Macaca mulatta: one gene and its partner. The protein of the gene in region 2 interacts with the protein of the main gene of each other region in a pairwise test. Links are inferred from orthologs where the notes say so. Each region holds a gene or a part of one and is shown on either strand. Other genes may lie near its edges. The genes, in order: CORO1A and FSD2.

Region 1 (4,425 bases), on a different chromosome or scaffold from region 2:
AGTTTCTGCATCTGTAAAATTCAGATAGTATTTGCTACCCAGGGGTGCTATGAGGATTACATGAACATAGTATAGTCTCTAGAACAGTGCACAGCACACAGTAGGCACTCAATAAATGCCAGTTATTATTCCTGTCACTTCTGTTGGAGACTGCACATCAGAGTACCCACCTCACCTTGGTCTAGTCCCATCCAGTTGCAGGCCTTTGAGTACAGTACAACCCTAAGGTTTTTACAATTGCATAATCTATAGAACATTTACAGATTTATTGTCTCGTTTGAGTTTAGTAACTTTTTTGTTGTTGTTGAGATGGAGTCTTACTCTGTTGCCCAGGCTGGAGTGCAGTGGTGCAATCTTAGCTCACTGCAACCTCTGCCTCCTGGGTTAAGGCGATTCTTCTGCTTCAGCCTCCTGAGTAGCTGGAACTACAGGCGCCCACCACCACGCCCAGCTAATTTTTTTTTTTTTTGAAATGGAGTCTCGCTCTGTCGCCCAGGCTGGAGTGCAGTGCTGCGATCTCGGCTCACTGCAAGCTCCGCCTTCCGGGTTCACGCCATTTTCCAGCCTCAGCCTCCAGAGTAGCTGGGGTTACAGGCTCCCGCCACCACACTCAGCTCATTTTTTGTATTTTTAGTAGAGACAGGGTTTCACCATGTTAGCCAGGATGGTCTCGATCTCCTGACCTCGTGATCTGCGCACCTTGGCCTCCCAAAATGCCGGGATTATAGGCGTGAGCCACCGTGCCTGGCCAGAGCCTCATAACTTTGTGAGGTGGGCAGGACAAATCTTATTAATTCCCCATTTACCAATGAGAAAACGAGGTTCAGAGAGATCAGCCCTCTTGCCCAAGATCGCACAGCCAGTCAGTGGCAGAGGTGGGACTTGAACCCGTCCCTTGCTGTTCCTTGAACCTCTCCACATGACAGGGCTGTCCCTCAGCCTACAGGTCACCCCTCTAGCCTTGCCTGTTGGCTCTTCCTCATCCTTTTGGGCCCAGCCCAGATACTTTGTAAACAAGAATGACAAGAGCTAACTTTTTTTTTTTTTTTTTTTTTTTTTTAATGAGACAGAGTCTTGCTCTTTCACCCAGGGAAGACTGGGTGATGCAGTGGCTCAGTCTTGGCTCACTGCAGCCTCTGCCTCCTGGGTTCAAGCTATTCTCATGCCTTAGCTTCCTGAGTAGCTGGGATTACAGGTATGCATCACTACACCACGCTAATTTTTGTATTTTTAGTGGAGATGTGGTTTTACCATGTTGGCCAGGCTGGTCTCAAACTCCTGACCTCAGGTGATCCGCCAGCCTTGGCCTCCCAAAGTGCTAGGATTACAGGCGTGAGTCACCACGCATGGCCGAGAGCTAACGTTTATTAAGCCCTCGCCACTTTCTAGATGAGGTCCTTACTGACTTTCTTGGGTTATTTTAGGTAATCATACCCATACCTCTTACGTGGCAGGTATGACTGTTACAGAGGGAGAAACCGACGCTGAGAAAGGCTAAGTAGCGGCCACATGTCACTCAGCAGGTGACAGGCTGCGGTCGCACTCATGACATAGTCTGACTCTAGAGCAGGCCTTTCCTGCCCGCTGTTGCTGTCTCCAGAAGCCTCTCTGAATCTAAGGGTGGGAACTACTCCTCCTTGCCCTCGAGCCTTCGCCAAAGCCGGGCTTGGAGCGGCCGTGGGCTCCTCCTCCTTCCCCCAGGCTGGGCTCTTCACGGGCGGGAGCCTGCCTGGCTCGCCTGCCTCGCTCGACCCTGTAGCCCCTGGCACGAAGTAGGTGCCCGTGATGCCGAATTATTTCAGCAGGAGGGCAGGGGTGTTCCCGATGAAGACAGGAGACCAGGGAGGAGAAGCGACTCCCGGGGCCACCCATGTGTAGATCTCGGAGCCAAGCAAGAGCCAGGTCCCTTGGGTCCGGGAGCGCTCTGGGCTTCTCCTCGCCCGTGCCCCCCGCGCCCCCCGCGCTCCCCGCGCTCGCGTCTGCGGGGTCGGGAGGAGGGGGCGGCGTCGCCGGGCTGGGGCGGACACCGAGGCCTGGCGGGCGGGCCTGGAGCGCTTTCGTGCCTGCCAGGGAAAGGCTGGAGAGGAGGCTAGGGGCGGACGCAGGGAGAAAAGAAGCAACGGGGTGTTTTTGCCTTTTGACATTTTAAAAAGAAGTGCAGATTCGCTTCCCGGAGCCGGGCTGGCAGCCTGCGCTATGGTTAGGAACCAACGTGGGGCGCGGGCTGGGGCAGGGGAGGGAGGCGGCCGCAGCAGGGGCCCGGGAGCGCAGGGCGGGCCTGGAAGAGCTCCGCCCCAAGGGGCGCGGCCACCCTGGAGGCGGGCACACGGCTGCTTCTCATTCATTGTCTTGACAAGAGCATCCTCAGCGGGCGAGTCCCCGGCTCCTCCAGCTCCTTCCTCCTCTTCCTCCTCCTCCTCCACCTCCGGCTTTTGGGGGGTCACTGTCCTCTCTCTGCAGCAGGTGAGGCTGGGCCCAGGAGGCGCGGGTGGACCGGGGCGAGGGCCACCTGTGGGGCGGCGCGCGTGTGGGAGCCGCGGGTTGCGGGGGCGCGCGGCTGTCACCGCGACCCAGCCAGCGCCGGGGCCAGGGAGCGGGCGCAGCAGCCCGTGGGGGGACGCTGCCTGGAGTGGGGGCCGCCGGGGCCCCAGAGCGCTCTGCGGAGGCGAGGGCGAGGGACCACCGCGGCCAAGATGGAGGTGGGCGGCCGGGGGTTAGCACAGCGTCGAGGGCCCGACTCCCCCCGGAATTAAGTCTCGGGGAGGGTGGGGACGGGGACAGGGTGGGGTGAGTGGGGCAGCTGCCCTGGGCTTGGAGACAGGAAGGGGTTGAGAGCAAAACAAGAAAAGACCAAGTTCCCCTTTCCGTGGTTTCCGGGCCTGGTACCTGCGGCGGGGGAGGAGGCAGGGTGGGGCGATGGCTTCCTGTCCCCCACCTCTGGTCCGGGGCTCCTCTCTCTCCAGACCCTGGCTGCTCCTCAAGACGGGGGCTCTTCACGTACGCTCCTCACCGCTCTTTGGGCAGGCCGACCTAGCAGCCTCTTTGGGAGTCCTGGGGTGGCCAGGGGTGTTGGCGCCCCCAGTGAGTAGGCGAGGCTGAGGCTAGGGGCAGAGGCTCTGGGCACGGTACCCTCTCAGCGGTAGCACAGGCCCCTTCCCTGAGCAGGAGGGTGATGCGGTGGCACAAGGTCGTCCCTGGAGTTCCTTGCTCCCCACCAGACACTGGGGGAAACCATCCTAGCTGGACATCAGAGCAGTTGGAGTGGCTTCTCCCTTCCTGTGTGCAGTTCACATGGGGGTGGAGATGGCTCTTAAGGGCACCTGCTTTTCTGAGCGAAGGCAAGAGGCAGAGGTATGGGGAGGAGAAGATACTGGGACCTGAGCCAGAGACCTGCTGGGGAAGCCATCCTGCCACCTCACTCCCCTCGGGCAGCCCCCACGCCACTTCCTCCTGTGTCCAGCCCCGCACCGGCAGGGGAAGGAGGCCAGCCCCTGTCCCTGCCTTTAGGAAGCGCTGTGTGGGTGTGAGGGAGGTGGGCTCTGGACACTGTAACTAAGAGAGAACCCACCCTCAGAGCCATCTGGGCTGATGACGCCTGAGTCTGAACCATTAGGAAGGACGGGCTCTGTATCCATCAGCCAGTCAGTCAACAAACATGCAGTGGGGGCAACACCACGCCAGGCTCTGTTGCAGAGGCTGAGGGTACAGATTGAGTGTGTGACTCAGAGTGGCCTGGGGCCAGGGAGAAGGGGGCTTGCAGGTTAGATGGAAGGAGAGGCCGGGGAAGGCGAGCGGGCATAAGCCACAGAGGAAAGGATAGGGAGCCCCTGGAGATGATGCTGGGACCTCAAAAGCCAGACTGAGGGGTGTCCTGGGGGAGGTGGGGACCACTGGAAGATCAGAGTTGACCCTAAGGGAGAAATGCTCTTATCCTGTGTGCCCCTAGAATGAGCCGGCAGGTGGTCCGCTCCAGCAAGTTCCGCCACGTGTTTGGACAGCCAGCCAAGGCCGACCAGTGCTATGAAGATGTGCGCGTCTCACAGACCACCTGGGACAGTGGCTTCTGTGCTGTCAACCCTAAGTTTGTGGCCCTGATCTGTGAGGCCAGTGGGGGAGGGGCCTTCCTGGTGCTGCCCCTGGGCAAGGTGAGCCCCTGGGGCCCTGGGGGTAGCAGCTCCTCCACCCGACCCATGGCTCTGTGGAGGTCCTGATTAGGTGACTGTCACCAGGCCTTCCAGGGCCTGTGTTGCCATCTGGAAAACTGAGCTGGGCCCCATGAGCCTTACACTTCCTCTAGCTCCTCTGTGCTGTGGCTGTGTGGAAACTGATGCTCAGAAGGAGCCAACACAAGATGGGTCACACCAGTGACCAGGACTACAGACAGTCCTGCAGGCCCATGACCAGCCCTTCTGAGCCTCAGCCTGG
Region 2 (3,805 bases):
ATTTGCCAAGGGAAATAGGAATTGAGGGACTTCTTTTTTTGTTTTTTGTTTTTTGAGACGGAGTCTCTCTCTGTCACCCAGGCTGGAGTGCAGTGGCGCCATCTCGGCTCACTGCAAGCTCCGCCTCCCGGGTTCACGCCATTCTCCTGCCTCAGCCTCCCAAGTAGCTGGGACGACAGGCGCCCGCCACCACGCCCGGCTAATTTTCTGTATGTTTTAGTGGAGATGGGGTTGCACCATGTTAGCCAGGATACTCTTGATCTCCTGACCTTGTGATCCGCCCGCCTCGGCCTCCCAAAGTGCTGGGATTACAGGCGTGAACCCCCGTGCCCGGCCTGAGGGACTTCTTAATGATCCATTTGACTTGCAATTAGGGCAGTGGGGGACACCCCTGAACTCCTTCTGGGCTGACTTGCCACATGTCCATATCTGTGCATATTCATCAATTTCCCAGTGCAGTCATAGCATCACTGGGTCTGCCACAGAGTGGCCACTTTGGGTCCCAGAGACTATGTGGGCTGGGGCACAGACCTATGGTGTGGACTGTAGCTGGCTCGCTCCTCACGCTGGGGCCCCCCATGTTGAGGGCTCGCACACAGATAATGTAGTTCCGCCCCGGCTGCAGCTGCACCAGGGACTCGCAGGTCGGGATGCCTACAACAGACCTGTACAAGGAAGCAGAGCTGCAGTCAGAATGGGGCCAGGACACCTGGGCCCAAGCACCAGGCATCCCTTTCAAAGCTGGAAGGTTTAACTCACTCTTGCGCCCCTGTCCTCTGATCCACACTTACAGCAGCACAGCCAGGAGTGCTGGCTGCCCCTTGGCATTCCCTCCCACAGTCTCTGGTCTGCTCTTGTCACTTCATTGCTACTTCTTGTGTTTGTGGCTGTCTCCTCTCCAAGTCCCTCATTCTGGTTTCCCAGGCACCCAGCACCGCGCTTGGCATATGGCTAACACTGCATCATGGAGTGTGCATGCAGTGGAATCCAGTATGTCTCTGTCTGTCTGTTAGGATCATAATGTCTCTGAGTACCGCTATTCTTAGTACAGTGCTGGGCCCATAGAAGGCCCTCACTTCAGCCAGGTGCGATGGCTCACATCTATAATTCCAGCACTTTGGGAGGCTGAGGCCGGTGGGTCACTTGAGGTCAGGAGTTCGAGACCAGCCTGGCCAACATGGTGAAACCCTGTCCCTACTAAAACTACAAAAAGTAGCCAAATGTGGTGGCAGATGCCTGTAATCCCAGCTACTCAGGAGGCTGAGGCAGGAGAATTACATGAACCTGGGAGTTGGAGGTTGCAGTGAGCAGAGATCATCAGGCTACTGCACTCCAGCCTGGGCGACAGAGTAAGACTCTGTCTCAAAAAAAAAAAAAAAAGAAGAAGGTCCTTGATTCATGTTTATGAACAAATAATTCTAACTTTCTAACTAGAGCTGAAAGGGTTAACTGCTATTAACCCACTGAGAACAGCTGCCTATTGGAAATAATTCAAGATATTTAAATTGTACTATACAGAAATATAAGCCCATAATTGCCACTGCCTATATTGCTGCGGTTGCCAACCCCATGTCAGTCCAGTGGGCAAGAAAAGTCTTTAGGATGAGGCCCATTTACCAATACAACATCCTCACCCAGATGAGGCCAGGTTGTCTAGGTTATCTTCAGGCTGCAGCTCTGGGCCAGAGGGGCACTTTTATGCATTCAATAAATATTAACTAAACTCCTCAGGTTCCAGGCACTGTATAGGGAGGCCCTCAGAAAAACCAAATGTAGTTCCTGCCCTCATAGAGCTTCCAGTCTAGATGGGAAGAGCAGCATTCTTCAAGCAATCACTGGAAGGAATGTAAGATGGTAACCATGACAAGTTGACAGTGTGCTATAGCATATAATGGTGGGGGGAGGATGGCTTTTGAGCAGAGCTCTGAAGAATGCTGAAGAGGTAACTGTATGAAAAAGGGACAGAGGAGTCTCCTTCACAGGAGAAGCATGTGCCAAGGCCCTGTGGCAGGAAGGAGTGTGAAAAGTAGGAGGAACTGAAACGTGACCAATGTGGCGGGAGCTTTAGAGGGAGGGGAGCTGATGTGAGAGGAGTTGGAGAGGCAGGAAGGGGCCAGAGCCTATGAACGAGTTTTGCCTTTTTTCCGCCATGGGCTGCCATGATTGGATTTGTACTGGAAGAATATGCAACAGCTCTCAGGTCATCTCTCAGGTTACTGACCAGCCCTCTGGTGACCTCATCATTGTGAGTTGGTCCCAGGTGTCAAGTGCGCCTAAAGTATCAGCATAAATTGCAAAGGAAACCTGAACCCTTAGGATGGCCAGAACCACTGGACACCCTGCCCCACTCCTGAGTATCCCCAGAGTGGATTACCAAGGTCAGCCTCCATGTGGCCATGGACATGCAGATTCCACCTGGAACAGATGGATGGGTGGCATATGGCCATGTTTCAAACCTGGCATTTAGCATAGAAGAATCTGCTTCCGTAACAGTTGACACCAATCCCTCTTCATTTCTCCAGCTCCAGGTCGGTGCAACCCTGTGCTCCACAGCAGGGGAGCCCCTGGTCCTGGTGGCTGGTGCTGGCCTGCCTGGCTGGTTCATCCCCTTTCACAAGCTTCTGTAAACCAGAGGTAAACCTATGCTTCCTCCATCATAGGCTGCTGTAAACTCAGGTTCTGTGAGCCCTTGTGGTCACTGAGTCCAACCCTTATCAATTTGTGAACCCCTCCAGCTCTCAGAGAATGAGGGGTGAGCATGAGCTTCCAGACAGTCTTCTATGATAGATGAAACATTCTTTGTACATTGAGCTGTGATCTCTTTTGTTTTCGCCTATGAGTTTCACCCTCTCCTCTCTGAATTCCAGCTAAGTGGGTCTTTCAGTTCCTCCAGCTGCTTACTCCTGCCCCCAGGGTGTGTGTCCATGCAGCCCCCTCCCACTGGAGCACCCCTGCATTCACTGTTCTTGGGGCTCAGTCTTTCCCATCTGTTCAGGTCTCAGTTTAAACATCTTCTTTATCCAAAGTGGATCCTCACCTCCACCACCATTCTCTGTTTTATTACATTTCTTTTTCCTTCCTAGCACTGCATATTTTGCACATTGGTTTGTTTTCTTGCCTTTTGTCTATTTCCCCACCAGACTGTCAGCCCCATTAGGGCAGGAAGTTTATCCATCTAGTTCCCAGTGCCTTGCACAGGACCTGACACCACCCAGGCACTCAATGCTTGTTGAATGAATGAATGAATGGGAAACCTTACTTCAGGTAAAACAACAACAAAACCTGAGGTTCAGCCAACTTATTCATTCACTCATCATTCACCTTCAATAATAGCATTCCAGCTACTTCTCATGAACACTAAGCAACCAAAAATTGAGATTCCTGTGTATCAAAAATGCCAACCTTCTCTTCAGACTCCATATACTTCCTAAGCCATGTCACTGTATCAGGTGTCAGGGCTCGCGTGCCCAGCAAATGCCCTTATGACTCACTCAGTTACACCTGAGGCCTCTGGACTTTCAGCCTGGGTCAGCTCCACAGTGTACGAGTCCACAGGATTCAGGTTCCCAGACTCCCAGCAAATCAGCACAGCCTCTTCACAGCTCCTTATCTCTTTTGTTTTTATAATGGGGGGAGAAGGCGCTAAATGTGGGAGAAAGGGAGAGATGAACAACTGTTGGGTTCATTTCCAGTCATTTTGTTCAGAGCCACGGACAAACATCACAGCCACCTTCTTCCTCCCACAAAAGAGATTCAGTGCAATCAAAAGCAAACCAGGGAATCCCTTCCAGATGTTTCTGGAGTA

The links.
Region 1: the proteins of FSD2 (region 2) and CORO1A interact in binary tests that used the Homo sapiens proteins (3 or more experiments, as listed by UniProt). The two-hybrid records come from large-scale screens. The link is inferred for Macaca mulatta from reciprocal best matches to the Homo sapiens genes FSD2 and CORO1A.

Annotation. Positions count from the first base shown.
Region 1 is NC_133425.1:28,379,470-28,383,894, reverse strand, and holds the start of CORO1A (coronin-1A), read left to right. Parts: upstream 1-1,514; 5' UTR 1,515-1,772; intron 1,773-2,125; exon of another isoform or gene 2,126-2,509; intron 2,510-2,886; exon of another isoform or gene 2,887-3,881; intron 3,882-3,946; 5' UTR 3,947-3,947; coding exon 3,948-4,145; intron 4,146-4,425. UniProt on the Homo sapiens protein: May be a crucial component of the cytoskeleton of highly motile cells, functioning both in the invagination of large pieces of plasma membrane, as well as in forming protrusions of the plasma membrane involved in cell locomotion.
Region 2 is NC_133412.1:73,986,656-73,990,460, reverse strand, and holds part of FSD2 (fibronectin type III and SPRY domain-containing protein 2), read right to left. Parts: intron 3,643-3,805; coding exon 3,492-3,642; intron 666-3,491; coding exon 532-665; intron 1-531.